4 linked regions of the Drosophila melanogaster genome follow. The protein of the gene in region 4 interacts with the protein of the main gene of each other region in a pairwise test. Each region holds a gene or a part of one and is shown on either strand. Other genes may lie near its edges. The genes, in order: CG34166, CG11357, CG3604 and Pex3.

What was found.
Region 1: the proteins of Pex3 (region 4) and CG34166 interact in a two-hybrid assay, tested with the Drosophila melanogaster proteins (one large-scale study listed by BioGRID).
Region 2: the proteins of Pex3 (region 4) and CG11357 interact in a two-hybrid assay, tested with the Drosophila melanogaster proteins (one large-scale study listed by BioGRID).
Region 3: the proteins of Pex3 (region 4) and CG3604 interact in a two-hybrid assay, tested with the Drosophila melanogaster proteins (one large-scale study listed by BioGRID).

Annotation. Positions count from the first base shown.
Region 1 is NT_033779.5:14,741,200-14,744,394, reverse strand, and holds CG34166 (uncharacterized protein), read right to left. Parts: upstream 1,203-3,195; 5' UTR 1,100-1,202; coding exon 1,088-1,099; intron 1,014-1,087; coding exon 777-1,013; 3' UTR 516-776; downstream 1-515. Other genes in the region: CG42586 (uncharacterized protein), read left to right, coding at 2,594-2,605, 2,673-2,930.
Region 2 is NT_037436.4:4,540,063-4,545,073, forward strand, and holds the start of CG11357 (uncharacterized protein), read left to right. Parts: upstream 1-1,988; 5' UTR 1,989-2,042; intron 2,043-2,057; exon of another isoform or gene 2,058-2,580; 5' UTR 2,581-2,845; intron 2,846-5,011. Other genes in the region: CG32243 (uncharacterized protein), read right to left, coding at 23-168, 233-591, 651-785, 861-949, 1,003-1,106.
Region 3 is NT_033779.5:3,696,726-3,699,534, forward strand, and holds CG3604 (uncharacterized protein), read right to left. Parts: upstream 1,148-2,809; 5' UTR 1,047-1,147; coding exon 648-1,046; 3' UTR 517-647; downstream 1-516. Other genes in the region: CG10031 (uncharacterized protein), read right to left, coding at 1,861-2,036, 2,102-2,315; CG42464 (uncharacterized protein), read left to right, coding at 2,768-2,809.
Region 4 is NT_037436.4:15,142,780-15,146,893, reverse strand, and holds Pex3 (peroxin 3), read right to left. Parts: upstream 2,540-4,114; 5' UTR 2,345-2,539; intron 2,226-2,344; 5' UTR 2,113-2,225; coding exon 955-2,112; 3' UTR 515-954; downstream 1-514. Other genes in the region: CG32147 (uncharacterized protein), read left to right, coding at 2,885-3,097, 3,184-3,645.

The sequences.
Region 1 (3,195 bases), on a different chromosome or scaffold from region 4:
TATAGCGAAAATTTAAAGGAGCTTACACCTTATCATTAAATACCCTACCAAATACAATCATTTAAAATACTTATTATAACCATTTAAGGTACACATATTTTTACTTAGGACCTCACCTCAAACGTATATGCATGTTTTTTTATATTTCTAAATAGATCGTAAAAATGGTCGTACTCGAAATTTTGTTGAGAGTAATTACATTTCCCTATCATCAGTATTCACTAGAAGTTGATATTTGCAGCCTTGCAATGTTTCTTCAAGAGAATTTGCTGATGCATCGATGAATTCCCAGACCTAATTGAATGACAGAGAACACTGCTCTTATTGAACATGAGAAGGTTCTCGTTCGATCTGTCCACGTTCGTCCGCCTGCCTGTCCGTCCGTCGAGATTAGAGGAACTATAAAAGCTAAAAAGTTGAGCTTAGGCATACAGATTCCAGGGGCATAGACGCAGCGCACGTTTGTTATTTGTTGTAGACACGCCCACAAACTGCCAAAAATTTCGTGGCTATATAACAAATACAATAATATAATATATTATAATATAATAATATAATATAATAGGAAACGAAAAACTCCGCTGCTTGTGTAAAATTTTAACAACTCTAACTGTTGCTTTACTAAACTTACAAGAATTTACGTGAAAGAAGAAAATACATCGGCTTTTTAGCTATTGTAAATAGTAATTTCTGTACATTTTGTGTTGCGACATTAAAAACTTAACTAATTTAAGGGTTTTTAAATTTGGAAAATATTATTTTATTAAGGCTGTATTTTAGTAACGTCCACCGTGTCCGAATCCTTGCTGGCCATGTCCTCCTTGTCCGCCGAATCCTTGCTGGCCGTGTCCACCCTGTCCGAATCCTTGCTGGCCGTGTCCACCCTGTCCGAATCCTTGTTGGCCATTTCCACCTTGTCCGAATCCTTGCTGACCACGTCCACCCTGGCCGTGTCCACCCTGTTGTCCATAGCCAGCGGCAAAGACCACAGCGATCAAGGCGAAGAAAACAATCTAAAAGAAGAGAAATAAAACAATGTTTAATTCCGAGCCCACCAAAATCCTTGAAAGGAATTTGCAGAGCTTACGAAGAATTTCATTTTGGTAGATTGATTGTTTACACTGTCGAAAGCGTTCTAACTAATTCTATGTAAATGGCAGGGCTTTTATAGCAGGTGGAAGCCGAATGGAGCGATTTGCACCAAAACAAAGTAATAAAAACAAAATTTTCTTATTTTTTGCTTATTATTTCCTATCGAAATCTATATACCCCAAGCTGTGATTATTAGATTAAGCGTCTGCGATGAGGTAGCAAAATTCTAGCACTGCATTAACAGAGCTGATTTCTGATCAGGGGTTGAGGACCTTTAGCCTGATCTTTCTTCTTGTTAATTTGTTTTGCTTATTTTGGAGCTGATTAGCTATATACCGATTAAAAGCTTTTCAATTGCCACTAAAAAAAAAGTATAAGAAACGGCGAAGACTTTTTAGCGCTGCATTTAAATTCACAAGCTTAACAGTATTCTTTTAGGCTGAATTTGCTCTCAAAAAAAGTACAATTGGTTTGGAAAATTTTAAATGTTTTTGAATGTAACCAAACACAGCGAAAAAAAATACAAATAATATTTCTTTAAAAAAAAGGATGTAAAGAAATAAACTAGTCTTATTAGTTTAATAAATACAATTTTTTAAGACACATAATTTCTATGTTTTTATAGACGGTACTTGTGGAGTAATTGAGTATACCAAATTCTTTAAAAAGTCTGTGGGAGTTCGAAGAAGGCGTTGCCGAACCTTTACCTATACAGAATATATATATTCTTCACCAGCATCACCAGCGGAGTCTATCTAGCCGTATTCGTTTGGCCATCTGTCTGTAAGCCTGTCTGTATGAACTGAATGAGATTCAGACCTCTAAATAGTTCCAATTCTTTCAGAACCTGTGCCAACAACACTCTAGATTCTTCATTGATTTCATCTAGTCTTGTCTTGTAAATATCTTAGTTCTTCTATTAGCTAAGAAATGGGTATCTGATAATCGAGGAATGCGACTATAGTGGTCTAACCTGTTAAGCGCTAAAATTCAAAGACATAACATAATTATACGTATGTATAAAAAATTAATCCATGATTACAAGGATTTCATACTTAATTATCCCTCCTCATTTCGAAAGTCTAATGATAACCCAGAAAAGCAAACAAGAACATTTGTTGCCGTAACACGTTTGTGATGCGTGAAAACGGAACATAAATGATCTAAAGTAATCTCAAACAACGTCTTCTTCTAAGTCGCCCTTAGTTTTTCTTAGCAACTGTTGCGGACTTATTAGATTAGGCTCGACTTCCCAGATAAGATTGATGTTGAAGGGTTCCCCCCGTTGAGCATAGGCATTGATACAGTGCTCAAATATTAATTTCCCAGACGTCTGGAAATTTTTTTCGTATTTTTGTTGGGTTAATTGTACTTGATTTTGTCAGAACATTGATAATACTTCGGCGCGTGACGACATGATGAGATTGCAGGAGAGTATAAAAGATCGGAGGCGTCCAAAAATTTTATTCACATTAGCAAGACTAACCGAAGTATCAGCACCATGAAGTTTTTGGTACGTTTTACATATACGCTTCAAAGAAAAACCTTTAAGAACTAAGTTGATTTTAATATTGTTACAGATCCTCTTCATTGCCCTATTCGCCGCGGCCGCTGCCCTACCTCAGTTTGGATTCGGCGGTGGATTCGGTGATCAGCAGCAGCAGCAGCAAGGAGGATTTGGAGGTGGATTTGGTGATCAGCAGCAGCAGCAAGGAGGATTTGGCGGTGGATTCGGAGGTGGATTCGGTGATCAGCAGCAGCAGCAGCAAGGAGGATTTGGAGGTGGATTCGGAGGTGGATTCGGTGATCAGCAGCAGCAACAGCAACAAGGCTGGTAAAAACCAATTCATAGCACCGTCTTAACGCAGATACCTCAATAAAAATATGACACCTTTATGATAAAAAAACAATTGGAATTTTTTACTTTATCGTTCTCGAAAATTTATGAGTTTTATGAAAATAAATTTATATTTATTATTCATTTATATTTATTAAATAGTGCCCAGAAATAAATACACTTAACATAAGGGACAACGGGAAATATCTTCTCTTTCAGATGTTCAAATGGTTTTACTTAAAACATTGTAAATATAAATAAAAGCC
Region 2 (5,011 bases), about 11 Mb from region 4:
ATATGAATCCTTTGATACCTACCGTTGCTGATTAACAAAAATGCTGGGATCATTATTATTATTATTCATCAGCGATTCAAGGCGTGAATTGTACAGATTATTCGTAAATAATACTAAGGAATCGGATAGACCAGCCACATCACCAGATTGTGTAGAACTATGAGGATTCTACATGAAAGACAAACAATTTAAACAAATTCGAATGTATGTTAATGAAATATGAAGTTTATACCAAAATCGACGAAAGCATCTTTTCACTGGCGCAGAAGTCGAAAACCTCTTCAGGATAAACCAGAAATGGAACTGAATGTATGATGATTTTTCTAAGTTTATTAGTCACACTGGATGCTTTTTTCAACGATTCGGGTGTTATTGGTATATCTTTCTTATTTGGGTGCCATATCTGAGTGGTAGTATACGTTTTTAGCTCAACGCGACCATCGGTTTGCTTGTAAACTCCAAGATACGGGGTGACCATTAGACCTGCGGCAAACCCCGTATGGGTCACAAATCGGTTCCAGGAATCAGACATTGAGTACTGTGACACATATGACATGCAACAGTCAATGTTGCTGGAATGTCCAGTTTCATCTTGTACAAATAAAAAAATATAATACATTTCTCGATTTACTTATAACTATCGAGCTTACCCACGCATCGTCGGCATCGAAACACCGGATACAGGCGCCAGGATCTACTTTCTTCGGCCAGCTTGGGATCATATACATTATTGACAACCATCACAAAAAATAAAGACGTGAGTGACTGCCCTTTGGAGTATTTTCCTGATATGAGAAAGTAGATAACATAATGACGCTTATTTGGAATATATTATTAATTTTACTATAACTATAACTCACTATAACTCCAGATCGCATGAAACATGTTAGAATCGAAATTCAGCAGAGACAGCTTTGCCTTCAATATGTTTTCTTGACCCGACGATATTCTGCAAACCTTGAGCTTTATAATTTGCAATTTTTTCGGATGAATCCTACTTACAGATCCCAGGTTATATCGTTGCCATGGCCCAGGATGTCGGCAAACTTTTGCTGCACTTCTCTGACTGTGGGAACTAAGTTTCCGTCCCCTTTTGGAGCACTCATTTTTGCAAACTTTTATTCCTGCTTATTTCTAGAACTTCTTCTGTTGCACGTAGAAGATGGAAGTTGCAACAAAAGGCGGCTATCGATAGTCAGTGCTGACGAACTGTCACTATCTAAGTAATATGATGTATTTACCAGTCATATTAGGGATATTTGTAATTTAAATAAACATTAAATAAAACACTTATCAAAATGTATATCTCTTAATGTTTATGATCACCCCAATATTGTTTACATTCGACTGTTTGTAAATAATTAGGTTTCATAAAAGGCATTATTACTCAACGAATTAAATATTATTCTAATTTTTGTTATTAAGTAATTAAGTAATTACAAAATTTAGTTGGCTGATAACGATATTAGTGCAATTTAAAAAGTTAAAATCTTAATGTTAAGTTAAAATAGGTTTCCTATCGGTTGAATCAATTATCATTGCGTTTCTTCGTAATTTACAACTTACGAATGGCGACTGAGCCGATGCACTTTAATCGATAGCAATTTTGGCAGATGGATCTTGAAAATCTAGGCAAGCTAGATGAGAAAGCGATAGAAATGGTCACCCCAAATTTTAAACGCGTGTCGATGCTTGAGTTCCATCCCTATCTCCCGCTTTCAGTTAACATTCCAGTGGTGTATATAAAATCTTATGCCTGGGGTTTTTGAAATTTATACTTAAATAATATATATTAATACTGAACATGTTAATATTTTTAAATGTGTTTTGATACAAATATTGTTAAAAACTAGATTTCTTTAACTCTGAATATTCAAAAAGTTTTATGAAGCCAACTCCCCTTAACAGCCCTTCTTTACAACTAACAACAACGCCTCTGTTAAATATAACAGTGAATTTCGCCGCTTTAACAGCAACTGAGAGCGGCTAACAGTGCGAGAGAAATTCGAACGGGGCAGCAACAAAAAAGAAGAAAAAGACTGGTAATAACGCTACGCTTCTCAGTTACTCAGTTCCGAACGGGCAAAAAACAATTTAGCGCCCTCTGAAACGCTCTGTGTTTTATTTTCCACTTAAAATATTAAAAAAGTGCATAAAAATTGCACACGTCGCTGATAACTCGCTCGGTATACTTATTCTCTAAAATACTGTCTTTCAAATCAGTTGGAAAATATGACATGATAATAAGTGAACAATAGCCGCGCCGAGAATTTTTCGACGAGTGACGGCGGTTATTCCGTTTTTTATTCAGTTTTTCTTAAAAAACCCAAGCGCATAAACAATTAAAGTCGGACAACACCATCGTTAAATGAATTAAAAGTGAATAAAAGCGCTGTCAACGCCTTTTTGGGCAGCGAAAAAAGGAAAGAGAAATCCAGGCCCAGCATCCTTCAGCCTGCTTCTTCTTCTTCCTCTTCATCTCCTTTTGCATTTCTTTTCGCCGCGTCTGTATAGGTGTTCGTGTTGGTGTGGTTGTGTGCAAGCTTGAAAATTGTGTTAAGTTAAGTAAATTTATTCCAGCTGCCAACAACAAATTGATGCCAAAAATCTATACAAATTAAGTGCTGCGTGCGCGTGTGTGTTGAATTAGCACTCCCAATTGGTGTCTCTTTCGCTCTAACTCTGTTTTTGAACTGTTACCCAAAGCGATGGGTGTGTGTAAGTGTGCGTGAGTGCTTCACATGGAAATTAATTAAAAACGCACATTTGTTGCCATTTCCCTCGCTCTCCCGCAAGGATTCGACTGACTGGCTAATGAGGAAGCAGCCAGGCGAACAACCAGCAGGTGACTATTAATACATAAAAAAAAGCATAAAATGTATGAAATTAATTATGCGAGTGCTTGGATACTATCTCTCCAGATTTCGAGGGGTTTTGTCTTTTACTTTTGCTTATCAGCATCCATTGAACAGTATCCTATTGTTGTCATTGTTGCTGCGGGGAGGGACACTTGCTCTCTCGCTCACTCTCTTTCATGTGTGGGTAGCGTTTTTTTTTTTTGTTTTTTATATACGCATCTATCTCTTCTTTCGCTCTTTTCTTCGCCTTTAAGAGGCGTTGTTGTTGTGTGCTCTTCTTTTGTGCTTTTTTCCAACATGAATTTTCTTCGCTTTTTGTTAGCACGTCGCTGTCGCTGAGGACTGACCTTGAACAAGTTCAGGCACAGTGGCACGCATGCCTGTTTGTTGTCCTCCGTTTTGGCTCGTCTGCTCCTTTTCGCCTTTTTCAACTCGTTGTCCTTGGCCTGTCCCACTGTGCCGCCTCGCTCCGTCTCCCTCTTCCTATCTTTCTGTGCGCCTCGCTCCCGTCTGAATGTTTGCCCAAGACTGCGAGAGTGTTTACCTCATCACTTAGGTACAGTGGAAATCTCACTAGTTCCGATACACCGCTTATCAATAAAAAATAACCCATTTCTATATCAATTTTTCCTGATATCAATCAAGTCATATGTATTCAACTTATTACATATTCAATAGATTTGTTATCTGAAGAAGAAGTCGCTAAGAAGACCGTGTTCGAGTCCCACTAAGATAGCACCATATCTCTAAGGGCGATATTTTGGATCTAAATCGATTTTTGTGTGATTTTCGCTAATAGACATTTAACACGTGTACTTTAAATTAATGTTTAATTTATTGAGCACTATGGCTTATAAGGAATTACAATCATTCCGTTCAGTTTAAAGTTCATTGTTTGCATTGGCGCTTCAAATTTTCAATCACATGCTCGTTGGCGAAGCTCTGATTTTTAATTGCGCCAGCTTCCGCGAGAAGCTCTCGCTCTCTCTTTTTCCCACATTCATCTCCCCTCGATCGGCCGTCTCTGTCGAATGGGCTTTAACGCTTTTTTCAGTGGCGCAAAATAACGTTGTATACGCTTTGCTTGACTGTTTGTTTGCCTATCAGCTGCTGTCACCGCTTTTCACCCGTTTGCGCCTTCTGGCCCACTGATAACCGGCGGTGCGAGGCGTTAGACGTCGGCGGTGTTACTTTTATTGGTCCGTACAGTGACCCCGAGATTCTCCGCCGACGTAACGTCACGTCAACGTTTTCAGCTTTTTGCTTTCTCTTTTACTCCCCCTTGCCGCGCCGAAATTTTCGACACGTACGAACTGCTATTCATTATTAATACCCGAATTTCGAGCGATTTGCGATCCTAAACAGTACGTTTATGAAATAACATCCTTATGTCTCACAACTTAATCTTTCAACTGTTTTCTACTTCCTTTTGGGTTTCTCCACTCGACTTATTCATGCTTTTCTAAGATATGCGAAAAGTAATCTGCATGTAGCAAGTTTCACAGAATTTTGTGTATAAGCACACCAATCTTAATAATTTTAAGAAAATTGTATTTTGGTCTTTATCAATGTGCTAGTATCAGCTAGAATATAATACTCTAATACTCGAACATAATAATTCATTCCGTTTCATCATGTGATCCCCTCATGTGAGACTTTCAAATTCAATGCTTCAAATAAATATAATGTTTATCAGATAATTGTTTTTTTTTTTTGAAACCAGCGGAACATCGAGAGAATAACACTTATTTCCATTGTGAATTTGTTTAGATAAGGCATACCAAAATACTTTAAAAGTTTATGTTCGTATAATGCAAATTGTTCTTTTATTTTAAACAAATACATACACGTGCCTCTCTTCTCACACACGCATTTGCTGATGTGGATACATTCTATAAATATTGCAAGTATTTGGAATTTCTTGATTGCGCGCGTAAATGGATAGAAACCAGACATCCACGAAATTTGTGCACTGCAGGAGAACTTTAATTTATTACTGGATTTCTTACTTACTGGATCATCGTGTGATTTCTTTAATTTACATGCGAGCGATTCCGAGCGTTGCAAGAACAGCAAAAAATGGCCATGATCATGTTTGTCTAGTTCGTTTTAATTTTTATCAGCAAAAAATTTAATTGAGTGCAAATCGCGAG
Region 3 (2,809 bases), on a different chromosome or scaffold from region 4:
GGATCTTATCTATATGCTCATGAACTTTCGGTTCATTAACGAGTGCTCGTGAATTTGGTATATAAACAGACGAGACTTCGAGTACTATGTGCTAGTGCTAGTGTTTGTACTGAAAATAATGCCGGAATAGCAAATAAATCTAGGAACTACGTTCTGAATAAAGTAAACACGATTAGGCAGCGATTTGTCATTCGGAAGTGGGTTTGTCCGATTTTTTCCCAAATTTCATTTATTTCCTCTTTTGCTTGTATAATATATTTATACATTTCGTTTTCAGAATCTTTGCGATATAAGTGCATTATAAAAGTAGTCATATTTTATCAAAATTACTGTTTACACTGTTTAGTTCCCAAGATTAATTAAAATCGTCTATTCATGACTCAAGTTTTTGTGAGTCCGTCGGGTTTCGAAATTAATGACTTTCCGAGATGTACTGCTAACCACTTCTGACACTTACAAATGTATCTACATACTGTACTGCTAGTACCAGATGTGCGAATAAAACGAAATAGATATATAAATCACAATGGTATATTTATTAAAATTTATAATCAAATTATTCAAATAATCAACTCAGTAAAGAAATGCTTTTAAAAGGCTGATGAAGTTGGATGACAAATAAATTACAAACTAAGAACTACAATTTTTTAAGACGAGGTGCTAGTTTCTGTGGCCACTTCGCTGTTTTGTTCGGTTGTTGAGTCCGTGGAGGAAACCGCAGACTTTACCAAACATGCCTGTTCGCACTGCTCCTTGGATTCGAAGTTGTTCTTGTTGCCGGCACATCCACCGTAAACGAACTCCTCGCAGGATTGTGTATCCACGTTGTAGGCGTAGCGATAGAACAGAGCGAAACAGCGACCGGTTTCCTTGGGCTGATGACAGTCCTCCGGAACAGTGAGCTCACTGGCATCAGGCAGGGGTTTGGCCACCGCGGGCTCCTCCGCCTTCTCCACGACGACATCCGAGGGAGCTGCACGAATTCCGGCTGCCAGGAGCAGAACAGCCGCGAATACTATGAAACTGAAGCTATATCTAAAGCACATTTCGAGTCCGTTGAGTGGATGATGAGCGAATGATTTCGGCTCGCTCGGATATTGCGGCTTAAATACTATCCGTCCGAACTGATTAACTCACGTACTACTATACTCACTCAACTGGGTTTTTGCCCACCGTTTTGCCTCTTTTTGTGTACTTCATTTATCGGAGCGCCAGCTTGTTTGTCCAACTGATTCGTCGCCGCATGTAAATCACGGCGGTGCCTCTCTGACGTCTATATCCACGTCCATATCGATATCACCTGGCACTGACAGCTCTCGGAGAAGCTTTCGCGGCCCAACCTTCAATTGCAGATCAACGCACCAACGCAAGTCAATCATAATGCTGGCCATAAAATCATATTCCAAGTGGCTTCCGTATCGGTGTGACAATTTTAGTCAGCCAAATCACGTTTAGCGAGCGGAATGGGAATCTAACTGAATTACCTATAAACTGGTTAACTGTCGGTTGAAGTTTTTTGTGTATCTAACGAATGGGGTAAGCTTTGGAGCTTCAGAAGAAATGAATAAACTGTCTGGTTAAGAAATGTTCCTAATAATCGCTCGTTTGCGATTCTAATCATTAGGTAATTTTCAAAATTGCGCATATAGGTGGAAAATAATGCACTTAATTTCTTAATTCCAATTATAGATAAACATTTGATATACTGCTTACTTGTAATTAGTTAATTATTAAACGTATATATTTCGCATTAGCAAAAACCCATTTCAAGTAATTATTTTAAAAATACATCAACAAATAATTTCATCTAGCATTTACAATTTAAAAACAATCTCGTATTTTGTGACCGCCATCAATGGATCACTTTTTGGGAATACAAGCCTCCTCACAAGTTTGTCGGAATCCCCAACGATTGTCATTGCCTCGACATCCTCCGTACTTGAAGGTCTCGCAAGCTTTTGAATCCTTGTTGTAGTAGAACCTTTCTAGGCTCATGCGGCATGGACCAACGTCCAAGGGCTGCAGGCATTTGGGATCTACAAATTAAGGGATTTAATAAAGGTCCATAAAAGTTCTTCGATCAGTTTATAAATAAACATACCTGGTACCAGTCTCTGTGGTTTGATTGTAGTTGTGGCAACTGCAGGCTTGTTTCCCGATGGATTTCCAGGTTGCACCTGAACCACAGCCTTCGGTTTAATATTGTTATTATTATTATTATTATTATTGGGAGTGGCTACTGCCTGCGTAAGTTGCATAAGACTTAGCAAAACGAGTGCCGCAAGGCAGAGAAACTGGGTCATCCGCAGAAGCATTTTGTGTTTGCAACCTGATAACTGAACGTTAAAAGCAACGACTGTGAACTGAACTGTTCCGAATGTTCCATATTCCAGTTCTATATGCTGTGCTTAGACGATCAATTACGTTCAAATTAAATCATTTGCTCACTCTCTGCTCATCCATGTGTGAGTTAAGCTCGCATTGCGCATACGCCGTGTTGAACGCTGGCGAGATTAATTAAATAATTTCAACAAAGCAAACAGATAGCACATAATTGGAACGCATTTTCGAACTCATAGTGCTCGCATAATAATATATACTTGAATCGAATAAAATAAACAAAAAGCGATACCCTATCACTTGAAAGAAAACTGTAGACTTTTCAAATTAGGCACACTTTAAGCCAGGTTATTGCGAATTATAGAATTATAAAGACATCTTTCACGAGAAAGGTCTTCAATCTAAACAAAGTTTTACCGGGAAAAAGATGTTCATCAATATATGGTATTTATTCATAGCATTAGCTGGT
Region 4 (4,114 bases):
TCTGCGCAAGTGCTTGAAGAGAGTGAACAAGGGAGAGAGCGGCAAGAACAAGAGAAATGGCAAACAAACAAAAGCCACAGACACAGCTGTCTTATCACAGGGCGGTTTTCTGCCACCCCCTTTTGACTGATAGCAAAGACAACCGTTACTTGTGGGTTGTGTCTTCGATAATTCAATTCTTATATTTTTATACATATTAAGCATTTATAACAAGAGAGAATGCTATAGTCGAGTTCCCCGATTATCAGATAACCGTTGCTCCGTTACTAAATTAATATATTATGTACATTTAAAACCGCAAACTGTTAGAAACTTGGAGGAAAAAGTATATAAGAATCTCGTATATCTCCGACATAATTATTGAATTTATTTCTTATTAATTCAATACAAGTATGCACCTATGTACGCATGTATAATTTATCATTCTATAAATCAATATCTGTTTTAATTAGCTGTAAGAATAAAAAGAATAAGTTCCTTCAAAAACTTTAATATGCAAAATAATAGTCTTTAAATACGGGGAATGCATAGTTTATTAGGTTGCCATTTGTTTACACTTCCTTTAAGATTAAGACCCAAGCTTTCTAGCATGGTATAAATAAATAATCTGTCACTTATCATTCTATTAATCAATTACACTTTAAATTACATTTTCATATAGTTTGGATACTAAACTACCCTCAGGTCCATCCTATATGATTCTCTCATATGTTGCATTTCCTAACTTTCCATTTAGATTAAAAGGCCTTCACGTTACTCGATTTGTGTCCCTGCCCTGAAAGGATTCCCCGTGGACGAAGCTAAACCTAATACGGGTTGGGTTCAAGCAGACATACAAACAATGCTTCTGAGAATACAGATCTTATTAAAAATATACAAGTATATAAACTATAATTTTCCAATTGTCTTAGCCTAGCCTATGCACGGATGCATAATCCAAGTTTTGTTGATCCTCTAAGCGGAGCTAAAGCTTTCGTAGACGTTGGCCCCCAGCGTCTTTGTCTTCTCGGCGACCACGTAGAAGGTTAGCAGTTGGGTGGGCAGATTGTGGGGTCGCGAAGTGGTATCGAAGCCTCTCGAGGTGAGACCACTGATGATAGGAATGAGCTTTGCCAACGCCAACAGCACTCGGTTGATGTTCAGCAAGTTATTGTTCTCCAGACCGTTTTGGCTCTTCGAGGTGCTGGCGCCTAAGCTTCCTGCCTGGTTAAACTTGACGCTCTGTTCTTGCTGCGTTTGGACTTTAGCTTGTGGCAGATGCTGCAAAGTTTCGCCCATGCTTTCGGCGATGGCATCGCAGGCCAGCACAAAACCACGGCTTACATTGTGCGAGCACACGCCAACGGCATCCTCGCTCTCCAACAGATCCAGCGTCTCGTTGACCATCTTTTGCAGCAGCGGCGAATGACTGGGATTCTGGCTGGGCAGCAGATACTTGCTCATTCGCGAGTTGGGATCCCGACGAGTGTCCGCATTGATGGCCATTTGCAGTGACCAAAACAGTTGCTCCAGGTCGCTAAGGGAAAGCTGTTCGGAGAGCGGTATGGTCTTGGTGACTGCGATGACCTGGGTGCGAATGTAACGGGCTAAGTCCCGGATGCCCGAATCCGTGATAAAGTGTCGGATGAGGGAGAGATACTGCTGCTTTAGCTCGTCGGTGACTTGTTTTTGTTCCGTCATGATGTCCCGATAGATGTAGCCACCGAGAAGATTTAGCTGGACCCTCAACGCAATAACCAGCATGGAGGAGGCGTAGACATAGGTTGCCAGTCTTGTGAATGCCACAATTTTCATGTCCTCCCAAAGTTCCAACTTGTTCTTGGGATTCTGGCGCAGCTGCTCGAGCAGCTCGTCCGTGCTGCACTCCCTCAGAACCGCTTGGCACATCTCCTCGCCCATGCCTAGGATCACCTGGTTACACGTCTTCTCCGTCGACTCAAAGTGGGTCGTGCGCCGCGTTCTCTCGAAGAATTCCCTGGCCTGTTTCTCCTGGAACTCCACGAATCGCCGTTGTGCATAACGTGCCGCAAAGATGGTACCGCCCACCAGAACGCCGGTCACTATGAACTTTCGCCGGTGGCGTGACAAGAAGTCCTGCAGGCGCGACAGCATGTTAACGATTGGAAAAGGCCTCTTCTGCCGGATGGACAACTAGAATCCGCTTCCTGTGTGAAATAGGCCAACTGCTGTTCAGATATCCCACTTTTTCCCGCTCCACCGGCGACCTGTTCGAGGTTAATAAATAGTTAATGTGCAAAGTTCACCTGTGTGCGTAGGGTGGTGCGCTGCCGGCGTCGCTGCCAACAGAGGAGCGTCCTCCACTCATCCGCAGCGATTAGATTACCAGGTAGTGCTCACCTATATACCCCTGCTCGGAAACTCGGATCTGGTGCGCCGCCTTATCGGGTCGATTGCTGGCCTTTGGATCGGATCTAGCTCTGGAATGTATGGAATGGATTTATCCTTTGTTGTTGTCGCTAAATGTGTTATTTCTCTGTTTGGTGCCGCATACTGCGTCGTCTGTTTCCGTTCAAGAAAAATCCCAAAAGTGCGAGGTTCGGGAATACCGAAAAATACCATTTCGTTTAGTATATTTGGTGTTACTGTTTAAATTTTTATTGAAAATGGGGATGCTTTTTAGTTATTTATTTTTTCGTTATTTCGAAGTGGGTTCAAAAAAAAATAGAAAATATAAAATAATGTTAATTCACCTATAAATGACGAAAAATAAAAAACTTCGATATGCTCCAATTTCCACCGTTCCGCCATCGTCGCAAACATTTGAAACGCATGATTCAAAGGGTGAAGAAGAAGATAGAAATCATATGGTATTTAAGATAGTTCTGTTGTTGGTGGGGGGTTTAGTTTAGTTGGGGTGTTTGTTATGGCGTCGTCAGATCGAAAGCTCATTGTAGTCTCCGGATTTGGTCCATTTCTCGGTCACGAAGCGGTCAACGCCAGCTGGGAAGCTGTGAAACTGCTGCCGGAAATCCTAACTCACGATGGCATAGAATATGATCTGGAAAAGCGGTTGGTTTCGGTGGAATACGGGGCTGTGGACGAGGCGGTGGCGGAGATTTGGAAACGCCAGCCATATGTAAGCATCGCAATTGAACCATAAATAGATAGAGGCCTTATGATATCATCTTTCTCCCAAAAAAATAAAAAACAAAAAAAAAACAGCTTGTTATCCATGTCGGTGTTTCGGGCGTTGCCAAGTGTGTATACATCGAGAAGCTGGCGTACAATCACAAGTTCCGCCGAGCTGATAATTGTGATAAAAAACTGGCCAACGGCACTTGCGAACTACCCAACAATGGACATGCAAATGTCTTGAAGACCGAATTAGATGTGGATAAGATTGTGGCGGTTGTAAATGAGAATTGCGCCGATTGTGTGGGACCCACACAACAGCCGACACATAATGATAATCTCAAATCCCTGAGCGCCACAAAGGCATCCAAAAATGTGGGTGACTTTCTCTGCGGCTATATCTATCTGAAATCGCTCGATATGGACAGAAAACGAAGCCTGTTTGTCCATGTACCTCCTGTAGATAGGCCATTTAGTAGTGTTAAGACTTCGGAAATACTTTTTAGCATAGTCGAACAATGCATTCAACAGGTGGTCGCTTTTGACTCCTGAATTCCGCAAAATATTCTTCCAATATCTGTCTTTTTAAGAATTATTTACATGTGTGCTGTTAAGTTGTTTAAGAAATGAGTTTTATTCTTTTTAAGATACAATATTTTATATTTACTTTTTATTACAATGAAACAGAGAAGCAATACAACTGCATTAATAATTACACAGTCTTTTTTGCGTTTACACAACACCAGTCTTTATTTTAAAAAGGGTAAATGACATAAAGAGAATGACGTAAGTTATTTAAAATAAAATTTAATAAAAAAAATGAATTAAAAAGAAGAATTATAAGGCCTTTACAAATTGCCTTATGTTAAATACAAGTTAACTTATATACAATACAATACGATACTATTTATATCACAATATTTTAAAATTATGGTATTCGAAAAAACCGTAATATTTAAAAAAAAAATAGTACATTACTGAATTAGTTAAATATAAAAATAAAACTTCAAATATATAAACG